Rattus norvegicus: one gene and its partner. The main gene of each other region encodes a partner of the protein of the gene in region 2 in a complex. Links are inferred from orthologs where the notes say so. Each region holds a gene or a part of one and is shown on either strand. Other genes may lie near its edges. The genes, in order: Vegfb and Flt1.

The links.
Region 1: the proteins of Flt1 (region 2) and Vegfb are in contact, whole or in part, in a crystal structure (PDB 2XAC), measured with the Homo sapiens proteins. The link is inferred for Rattus norvegicus from reciprocal best matches to the Homo sapiens genes FLT1 and VEGFB. Residues at the interface, in NP_002010.2 of Homo sapiens: Tyr139, Glu141, Pro143, Phe172, Pro173, Tyr199, Ile202, Gly203, Leu204, Asn219, Leu221, Arg224, Thr226; in NP_003368.1 of Homo sapiens: Ser37, Trp38, Ile39, Tyr42, Thr43, Thr46, Cys47, Gln48, Pro83, Asp84, Asp85, Gly86, Leu87, Cys124, Arg125, Pro126.

What each region holds. Positions count from the first base shown.
Region 1 is NC_086019.1:213,604,068-213,608,402, forward strand, and holds the start of Vegfb (vascular endothelial growth factor B precursor), read right to left. Parts: upstream 3,086-4,335; 5' UTR 2,831-3,085; coding exon 2,771-2,830; intron 2,240-2,770; coding exon 2,197-2,239; intron 1,911-2,196; coding exon 1,714-1,910; intron 1,522-1,713; coding exon 1,448-1,521; intron 1,079-1,447; coding exon 1,043-1,078; intron 837-1,042; coding exon of another isoform or gene 736-836; coding exon 601-735; intron 449-600; coding exon 433-448; 3' UTR 1-432. Other genes in the region: Dnajc4 (dnaJ homolog subfamily C member 4), read right to left, coding at 3,418-3,526, 3,606-3,692. UniProt on the Homo sapiens protein: Growth factor for endothelial cells. VEGF-B167 binds heparin and neuropilin-1 whereas the binding to neuropilin-1 of VEGF-B186 is regulated by proteolysis.
Region 2 is NC_086030.1:12,331,901-12,336,234, reverse strand, and holds the start of Flt1 (vascular endothelial growth factor receptor 1 isoform 1 precursor), read right to left. Parts: upstream 2,806-4,334; 5' UTR 2,571-2,805; coding exon 2,507-2,570; intron 1-2,506. UniProt on the Homo sapiens protein: Tyrosine-protein kinase that acts as a cell-surface receptor for VEGFA, VEGFB and PGF, and plays an essential role in the development of embryonic vasculature, the regulation of angiogenesis, cell survival, cell migration, macrophage function, chemotaxis, and cancer cell invasion.

The DNA of each region.
Region 1 (4,335 bases), on a different chromosome or scaffold from region 2:
GCTTTTAAACAAGGTTCCATATAGCCCAGGCTGGCTTCAAACTCTCTCTGTATTGCCAAAACTCCCCATATGTACCACCATGTCCAGGCCCAGCCTTCTTGATGCATTTCCTTTTTGGAACCCTGTTTTATTTGATACTCTCTAGAAGCCGCCAGGGCCTGGCCCATAAATCATCCCAGGGCCTCACTATGGAACAGAGAAGGGCTACTTAAGTATTCGAGGCTCTCTCTCATACATCTCTGCTCTCTCAGAGCCTACAGAATGGAGCAAATATCTATCGTGTAAAGCCCGTGGAAAAAGTCTTCTTGAGTTCCCCTCCAGGAGATGGTTGATGGCTTAGATTAGATCGTTGTCCCTGTCATAGAGCTTAGCATCTTCTATTGGTGGTGACACCATCTCTCTCACCATCTGATTTGTGCATCTAGTCTTGAGCTAAGTTTCTGATGATCTGGGTGCCAGCAGATGCACAGTAAGTGATTTAACACATGCAGCTGTCTCCTCCTTCCCTGGTCTCTCCACCATTGGCAGGCCCATCTGGACCTGCCCCAGGACGCAGCATTGCTGCCTTCCCACACCAGTGCCACCCCACAGACTCCTCACCTGCAGGTATCTGGGTTGAGCTCTAAGCCCCGCCCTTGGCAATGGAGGAAGCGGCGGCGTCTGCAGCGGCAACGGCAGGTCCGGGGATCAGGGCGCTGACGGCGCTGGGTGCAGCGTGGGCAGAGGGTCCTGGGGCTGGAGTGGGATGGATGATGTCAGCTGGGGAGGATGCTCCCGGGGCAGAGTCCCAGCTCAGAACAGAGCGGGGCTGGGGACGGTGGTGGGGTATGGCAACCCTAGGAGGAGAAGCATCATGTCTGGGGTGGGAAGAGTCTTCCCAGGAGCTAGGGATAGGTCAGAATGTGTGGATTTGGGGAGTATAAAGGGGAAGGGGAGTCAGGAGAGAGGAGAAAGCAGAAGGGCTGCAGTCTCCTGGCTCCTGGCACCCCCAAACCCACCCATAAGCTCTCCTGGACCAGCACCAAGAAATCCAGGAACTCACCTGTCTGGCTTCACAGCACTCTCCTTTCTTTTTGGTCTGAAAAATAAGAGAGAGAGAGAGAGAGAGAGAGACAGAGAGAGAGAGAGAGACAGAGAGAGACAGAGACAGAGAGAGACAGAGACAGAGAGACAGAGAGAGAGAGACAGAGAGAGAGACAGAGACAGAGACAGACAGAGACAGAGAGAGAGAGAGAGAGAGAGAGAGAGAGAGAGAGAGAGAGAGGCAGAGAGAGAGAGAACGCGCGCTTGATTAAAGAAACCTCCTGCTCTCTTGCCCCAGAATCCATGCCTACTTCTGGCTCTGCTCTCAGTCACCTAATCCCTACTAAGTAAGGTACAGTCCCATGCCTGATACCCCCACCCCATGCTACACTTTGTGAACTTAAGGGTTGGACCTGGCTGGCACCTGCATTCACATTGGCTGTGTTCTTCCAGGGACATCTCCCCCAGCTGACTGCTCGGGTACTGGATCATGAGGATCTGTACTCAGGAGAATGGGGAAGAGACAGTGAGTGGTGGGGGGGGCAGCAGAAAGACAGAGAAAGGGGATACTAGATGGGCTAGAGAAGGAATGACCAGAACCTCCCACCTCCTGGGTACCTGTCTCTGGGTTGACCTAGTCCCCAGGACATCACTGTCCCATCAGCCTGCCTGACCCATAGGCCCCAGTACCTGCATTCGGACTTGGTGTTGCCCAATGGGCACACACTCCAGGCCATCGTCAGGACAGCAGCCACCACAGCGCTGCACAGTCACACAGCTGGGCACGAGTTGTTTGACCACATTACCCATGAGTTCCATGCTCAGAGGTACCACCACCTCCCTGGGCTGGCATGTGGCACGTGCATAAACATCTATCCATGACACCACTGTGGGCAGACCCAGATGGATTACGTTCTTATCGGGTTTCTGGCAGCTCCTTTGAGCATGTAGCCTCTCTGATACCCTGTCACCACCACCCCAACCATCCTTTAAACCTCTCTGCCGTGTTTCTCAAGAAATGATTAAGCCCTCTGCCTCAGTTTCTTCCTCTGTGAAATGGCATCTCCCGAAGGAGTTGGAAATCACACAAGGTAAGAGTCATGAAATCAGAACACATGCTAACTAACCCCTCTCAGTACTGGCTTGTGTCAAGTTATTGTTAACTATTATTACCTTTCTTCTGGTGGCTGGGGCCATCAAACTGGGACACAGGGGCCTGTAGGAAAGAAGATACCTGGGCCCAAGATGCACTCTAAAAGGGCTGGCCCTGTGGCTATGTAAGGGCTCTGTCCTTGATTGAGTCAGGCTTCTGTGCCTTTCTGACATCTTTCCAGATTGTTCTGTTCCCAGGACCTCGGCTCCAATTTTTCTTGTACACGCAGCCATCTGGTACTTTCCCTAGTCCAAGACCCACCAGACATACTCTGGGAATGGTGCTAAACCCCAAGCCTTAGAGCTGGGGCTTGTTTTAAGTCAGGAGCCGGGATAGTGGGAGACAAACGAGGTTCGGAGGGCACTGAGGCAGCTCCGCCCTCCAACCGCCCAGAGGATGGGGTGAGGTGGGGGAGTGGCCCCGGGAGCTAGAGCTAGGGCTGCCGGGCCTGCGCCGAGGGGCACCTCTTCAGGGATATTCCCGGTCTGAACAGCGGATCCCCTTGGCAGAAGTAGCGGGCGCCTCCCCACTTCCGCCAACCTTGAGAGGGCACCGCGGGCGGGCGAGCGAGCGGGATGTCTCTAACACACGTACCTGGGTACAGGCCAGCTGCAGCAGCGCAACAAGCAGCAAGCGACGGAGCAGGGGGCTCATGGTGCCCGCGGGGGCCGAGCGCCGGGGGCGACCGCATTGCCCTAGCCCGGCGGCGCGGGGGGCGGCGGCAGCCAGAGTCCCATGGCGCGGGCCCGGGTGTGGGGACCCCGGGCCGGGCGCGGGGGGCGGCTCCTCCGCGGCCCCCTCCCGAGCCCTGGGCGCAGGCAGCGCAACGTAGCGCCTCAGCGGCGGCAGAAGGAACGAGACAGGCAGGCGGCCTGTGTTGGTGGTGGTGGCCGGGACGGCGGGCAGCGGGGACGGCGGGGGTGGCAGGGGGCCTGGCCGGGGCTGGCGGACAAGAGGCTCATGTGACCTAAACACGCGCTCCCCACCCGGCTGCGGGCGGAGGCGGGGCGGGGGCGGAGCCGGTCCCCTCCAAACGCCCCCTCCGGCCGCTGCAGGGGAAAGGGGACACACCGCCCTGGAGGCCGGGCTCCCAGGGTCGCTGCCTCACGAGGGGAGGGATGAGGAGATGAGTGACCTGAAGGACCGAGTCGGATAGGAGTCTGAATATGAGTTTATTGCACGTGTAGTCCTAGACAGGCAGCAAGGGGAGGACCAATACAGGTCCCACCTAGGTAAGCCTCTCACTGGCTTGTGTCCTGGGGCATGATCCTGGAACTTTCTGGAGGCAGAGAGGGTTCTGTTGGAGGCTGCCTCTGCTGGTGCTTCTGCTGAATCCTGGCTCTGTTGGCCCTGGAAGGAAAGACAGATCAGGACAGGGATCCTGGAGGGTGGTGCTGAAGCAGGAGGCAAAGTCAGAGCAGTGACAGACCTGGCCCTGGCCCGAGTGTCATTGTAGATGGCTGTGATGATCCGATCCTTTTCGTCCATGAAGCTGCGATGCACCTGCTCCAGCTTCCTGTGAGGAAACTGCAATTAACCCCGAGTCTCTGAACTCTGGTGTCCCTAAGCCCTGATCTAACCAGGCTCTAGCATATCTCACACAACTTTACATCTCTCCCCCATAACAGACACCTGTGATGAGTTGAAAGAAAGATACAAGTGGCCCAAGTCCCAGAGCTGGGTGGTACCCTAAGTCCTGGGTAGTACCCTAAGTCCCGGGCTATCCTGTGGAGGTTGGTGAAACAGCTCTGAAGTCAGGGAGCAGTTCATCTCCATTGCTAGATGGAGCGGACAGTGGGTTCCATCCTTTGAGTTTCTATGCTGCAGAAAACTGGTATTACAGCATGCATGAAAGTGGCAGCTATCAAGGACTGGCTGTGACACTGTGCTTGGCCTCCCTTCCTCTATCTTCTTTCTTTCTATGTTGAGACACGGTTTAATGTAGCCTAGGCTAGCCTCAAACTTGGTATGTAACCAAGGATGACCCTGAACTTTCTAAAAAACATTGCTGGGAGGCGATGCTTCACACCTTTAATCCCAGCACTTGGGAAGTAAAAACTCATTTATGAAGTGCTAAGAGAGAACCCCAGGGTTTTGACCATGCCCTCTTTGTGTATGGTTTTGGATAGCTCCAGCCCTAACAACAAGCAGCGTCAAAG
Region 2 (4,334 bases):
AAACTCTTGCATAGAGGGGGGAAAAAATCAACTATATTTTTTAATTTTGCCAATTTTTAAAAGAAAAAAAATGCCAGTTGGGGAATCATTTGAAAAGAAACTATATAGCCTATTAAAGACTTTTCAACCAGGAAAAAAATTAATGCTGCACTAAAAAGATTTTTTTTCAAAGAAACCCTAGTTCACAGTTTATCTGCAAGATGACTGATCAGTTGGAAAGCAACATGAACCATAAGAGTCCCATTTAAAATATGCCATTTTGGGAAAAGCACAGCTCTGTAAGTCTTGGAGAAAAAAAATAGAAACCACTATGTAAAACTATGTATGAGAAATGCATTCTATTCAATTTTGAAATAGGTATTATTATTATTATTATTATTATTATTATTATTATTATTAATTTATCGAGAAAGGGACTCCCTTTAGAGCCAATGTCTCTGGTTAGAACTCACCATCCCTCTGCCTTAGGTCTTGAGTTCTTGGAATATGGATGTAGCCCTCACACCTGGCTGTTAATATTTGCATAATTTTTATTTTAACTCAGAGTTACCATACACACACCCCAATCCCAAAATTTAAGTATTTCTAACTAGTTCTACCAAACTCCAAATGTTAGCTGCTTAAAGAAAAGTAAGGGAGGGGGAGAGGGAAGGATAAAGGGGTGAGAAGGGAGAGAGAAGGAGAGAGAGAGAGGTGAGCAAAAGAAGTGCACGCTGGTGTGGTGTTAATCAAGGGTATGGAGTTAAACAAGAGTGTGGTGTCTTAAACCTTGAACAGGAGACTGAACTTTTTAAGAGACAGTGGTCTCCATAGCTACAAAGAGGACCCGAAAGTATTGTAGTTCGTAACTAATAAAGAGGCTCTAACACCCGATGGGGCTCAGCGCCTGGCTAGCCGGTGCAAAGCGACTCCGTACGTTACCCGTTACCCGTACCGTTTCTGTACTGCTTCAATCTGCCTCTGCTGGTCTCAACCCCATATAAAATTACGCTTAGCTAAAACCAACCACGCTTTAAAGTTTAAAAGTAAAGACACGTGTGCGAAGCAGAAAATCCAATGAGACATGGGTTTTCCCCCTCTATAACTTGGGGGTTTGCAGTAATTTTTAAGCTAGCTTTTGCCTTTATATAGTAAACTAGTATTTAAACTCTCTAAGCGATTATATTTCGAATAAGCAGCTCTTCAAAAACATTTGAGAAATAGAAAATACAAGAACTCGTTTAATATCATTGTTCTAGAACCTAGCCAGCCCATGTCGAGTTCTGGCTTTACCATTTCAATCCATTTTAATTATAAACCCCTGCTCATTACTTTGAAAGGAAGTGCAGTCTTCTCATTCCTAAAGGCTCGTTCTTACTGCCTTTAAAATCCGTGTTGCCTTTCTTTCTGGGGCCATTACAATCCTGACTCTTTCTTCTCTACCTTTTTTCCCCAACCACGTTGCTTTAAAGAAAGGTGTTCTGGTATCTGGCTCTGCCCAAAGCGACCTCACAGGATCCTTCGCCCCTCGTGCCTGCAGACCTGGAGTTAAGAGTTCCCGAGCTCCATTCAGCTTTTTAACCCTTGGATGACAAAGGTCTCCACATTAAATGCTCTTAAAATCTGCTGGTCCCTGATCCGTCCTCCCCTCCACCTCCCCAGCGCTTTTTACATCCCAGTGAAGGCTGATTTAGGCGATGTGCATACCTCACCTACTCCTTAAACCACAGCTTTCGGTCCAAATTGCCAGGTCCTCCCCCCTTGATTCATAACCTAAAGGTAGGGCTTAAATTTCCAAAACTTGAAGACTGGACCCTAGGCTGCCGGGCGCTTTGAGTCACTCACGCCGACGACCTGGACCGCACACCGGCCCGCACCCGCGGAGGCCCCACCCGAGAGACAGCGCTCAGCGAACTGCGGGGAAGAAACTGTGCCCGCTGTACGTTCCCCAACTTCCTCCGGACGGTCCCAAGCGGGTACGGGAACCAGAGCTGGCCCTTTGCTGGCTCCATCTGCTCGCCGCGGGCACGGGATCCTTCCCAAATTTGACCTCCTTTGCTCTGGTAGAGCGAGATCATCGCTATCGAGCCCTCTTCTGTCCAGCCCCGGGCAGCCTCTCTGACATCTAGCTCGCTCTAGCTAACCCTAGAGGACTCAGCCTCAGCCGGGGAGCGGGCTCTGGATGCAAAAAGGTCCACCAGTGTGGTGATCTGCACTTCCAGAGTCTACGGAGCGAGCGCCTACCCCAGAGCCTGGCAGGGGACAAGCGGCTCCGGGTGCACTCCGCAGATAATCTGGCTCTGACCCCAGCGCGGAGCTAAGGAGAGTCTGAACAGTGATGCCAACTTCCAGCGGCGCCCACTGGGGGAGAGGAAAAAAGATGTGTGTCCCGAGGCGTACCCACTGCTACAAGTGTCCCCGGCTCCCGCCGGAGCTCGCTTGCCCGCTTGTAGTCTCGCTCTCCCGGACCACCCCGTGGCTGCCCAACCCCGCCGAGCTCCAACTCGTGGTCCCCGGCGCGTCTCACCTGTGAGAAGCAGACACCCGAGCAGCGCGCAAGGCAGGACCGCGGTGTCCCAGCAGCTGACCATGGTGAGCGCGACGCGGCCTGCTGGCCCGGTGCCCGCGCTCTCCGAGGCCGACGGAGCAGCCGCCCGAGCCGGTCCCCTCCTGCTCCTGATGGCGCCGCGAGAGCTCTTCTCGCGCCTGCAGCCGAGGTGGTGTGGGGGGCGGAGGGGATCCTCCCAGTCTCGCGTCCGCTAGCCGCTGCGCTTGAGTCCCGGAGCCCGCTCGGAGCTGCTGCCACCACTACCACCACTACCTCCGGGGAGTGTCCGCCACCGCGCTCCGAGCCTCCCGAGGACCTCGCTGAAGCGCAGCCGAGGGCGGGGGCGATTTATAACCTTCCCCAGCCCACTTCCTACCCCGGCACCTCCTTCTAGTGACGTCAAGGGGTCCCCCACCCCTCATCCGCCTCCCCACCTACCCTCTTCTTCCTCCCGGAGGGGCGGGGGCCGGCGAGGGCGGGTGGCCTGGGGGCCGGAGCGCGCGTGCGGTGGCGCTAGGCGCGCGGGTCCCGGGGCAGGTTCGCAGGTTCAGCGTCCTTGCTCGGTGCCCTGCTGCCCCCGCCCCTCCTGCCCATCGCTCTCAGGAAATCCTTGCCCAGCTCCCTCCACCGGGCTTACTCAGCTCTGGTGACCGCCCGAAACTGAGGAGGGGACCGGCGAAGTGCACCGCCCTGCCCCCGGGGCGGGAAGTCTTATCCTAGGGAAGCTGGCCGCGCCCCCGCGACGGTGTCCCTGGCACCGAGGAACGAGGCGCAGTCGAGCCCTCTCCTGAGCGGTCCCGCCGGTCCCTGACCCCGCCAGACTGTTCCCAGACGGCGAAGGAAGGCGCCAGAGACCCTCCGCTTAAGGCACTTGGACCCGGAGCGTCCGAAGGAACCGGACGCCTTGCCAGGCACCTTCGGAAAGAGCGCGGGGCCGCGCGGGTCCCAAGGGAGGGAGTCTGTGTCTTTTTCGGCTGCATTAATGCACCCGCCCAAGCCATTTCCTCAACCCTCTGCTTCCTAGAAGCAAAACAAGGAATAACATGTTACCTTTTTCAAAAGCCAAGGCGTGAGACACGCTCCTGCAACTTGTAAAGGGCCAAGAACTTGAACTCTATGTCTGAAACGCTGGATGGAAAAGAAATCTTTTTGGTGGAAGCCGGCTAGCCAAGATGACTGACTCGAATGTTCTTGGAACAAAAACGGGTGAAATTAACTTGAGACACTAGATCATTTACGATGACACTAATTCCACGTTGTTCCTCAATTATGTATCCATTAACTGGAAGGCTGAAGTCGTCCCGGCCTCCCCGGAGCAGCCCGGTCTTGTCCCTGTAAATACTGCAGGTTTGAAAAATAGCTCATTGCAACCTGCCAGATGCCGGTGATAAAATGGCTCCTAAATGGGACCAGAGGCTTTTCCTGAAGGACTAGACTAAATCTCCGGTAGGGAAGGTTGCGCAACCCGAGTTGCCTCACTGCTAAGAGAGTCTGCGCCACCCCCCCCACCCCCACCCCCACTCCCGCAGCTCTCCTAGGGCAGCGGGAGCCGCTGAGCCAAGGCCAGGGAAATTCTTCTCTCCTTCGTGGTCAGGAGAAAGGAAAGGCCGCTATGAGCCGCAGCTCACCTGCGGACTTCCCCTCCCGGTTCTGCTTTCTCTACAACCCTCCACTAGGGTCAGTGCTCCTGCACTCTGCCTCGAATTGCTCTCCCAATCAGGAATCACACGGGATGGCCAGCACTAGGTAATAATAATTCTCCCAACTGAATCTCCAGCCGTAGATGGTTTAAGACACACCCACACAG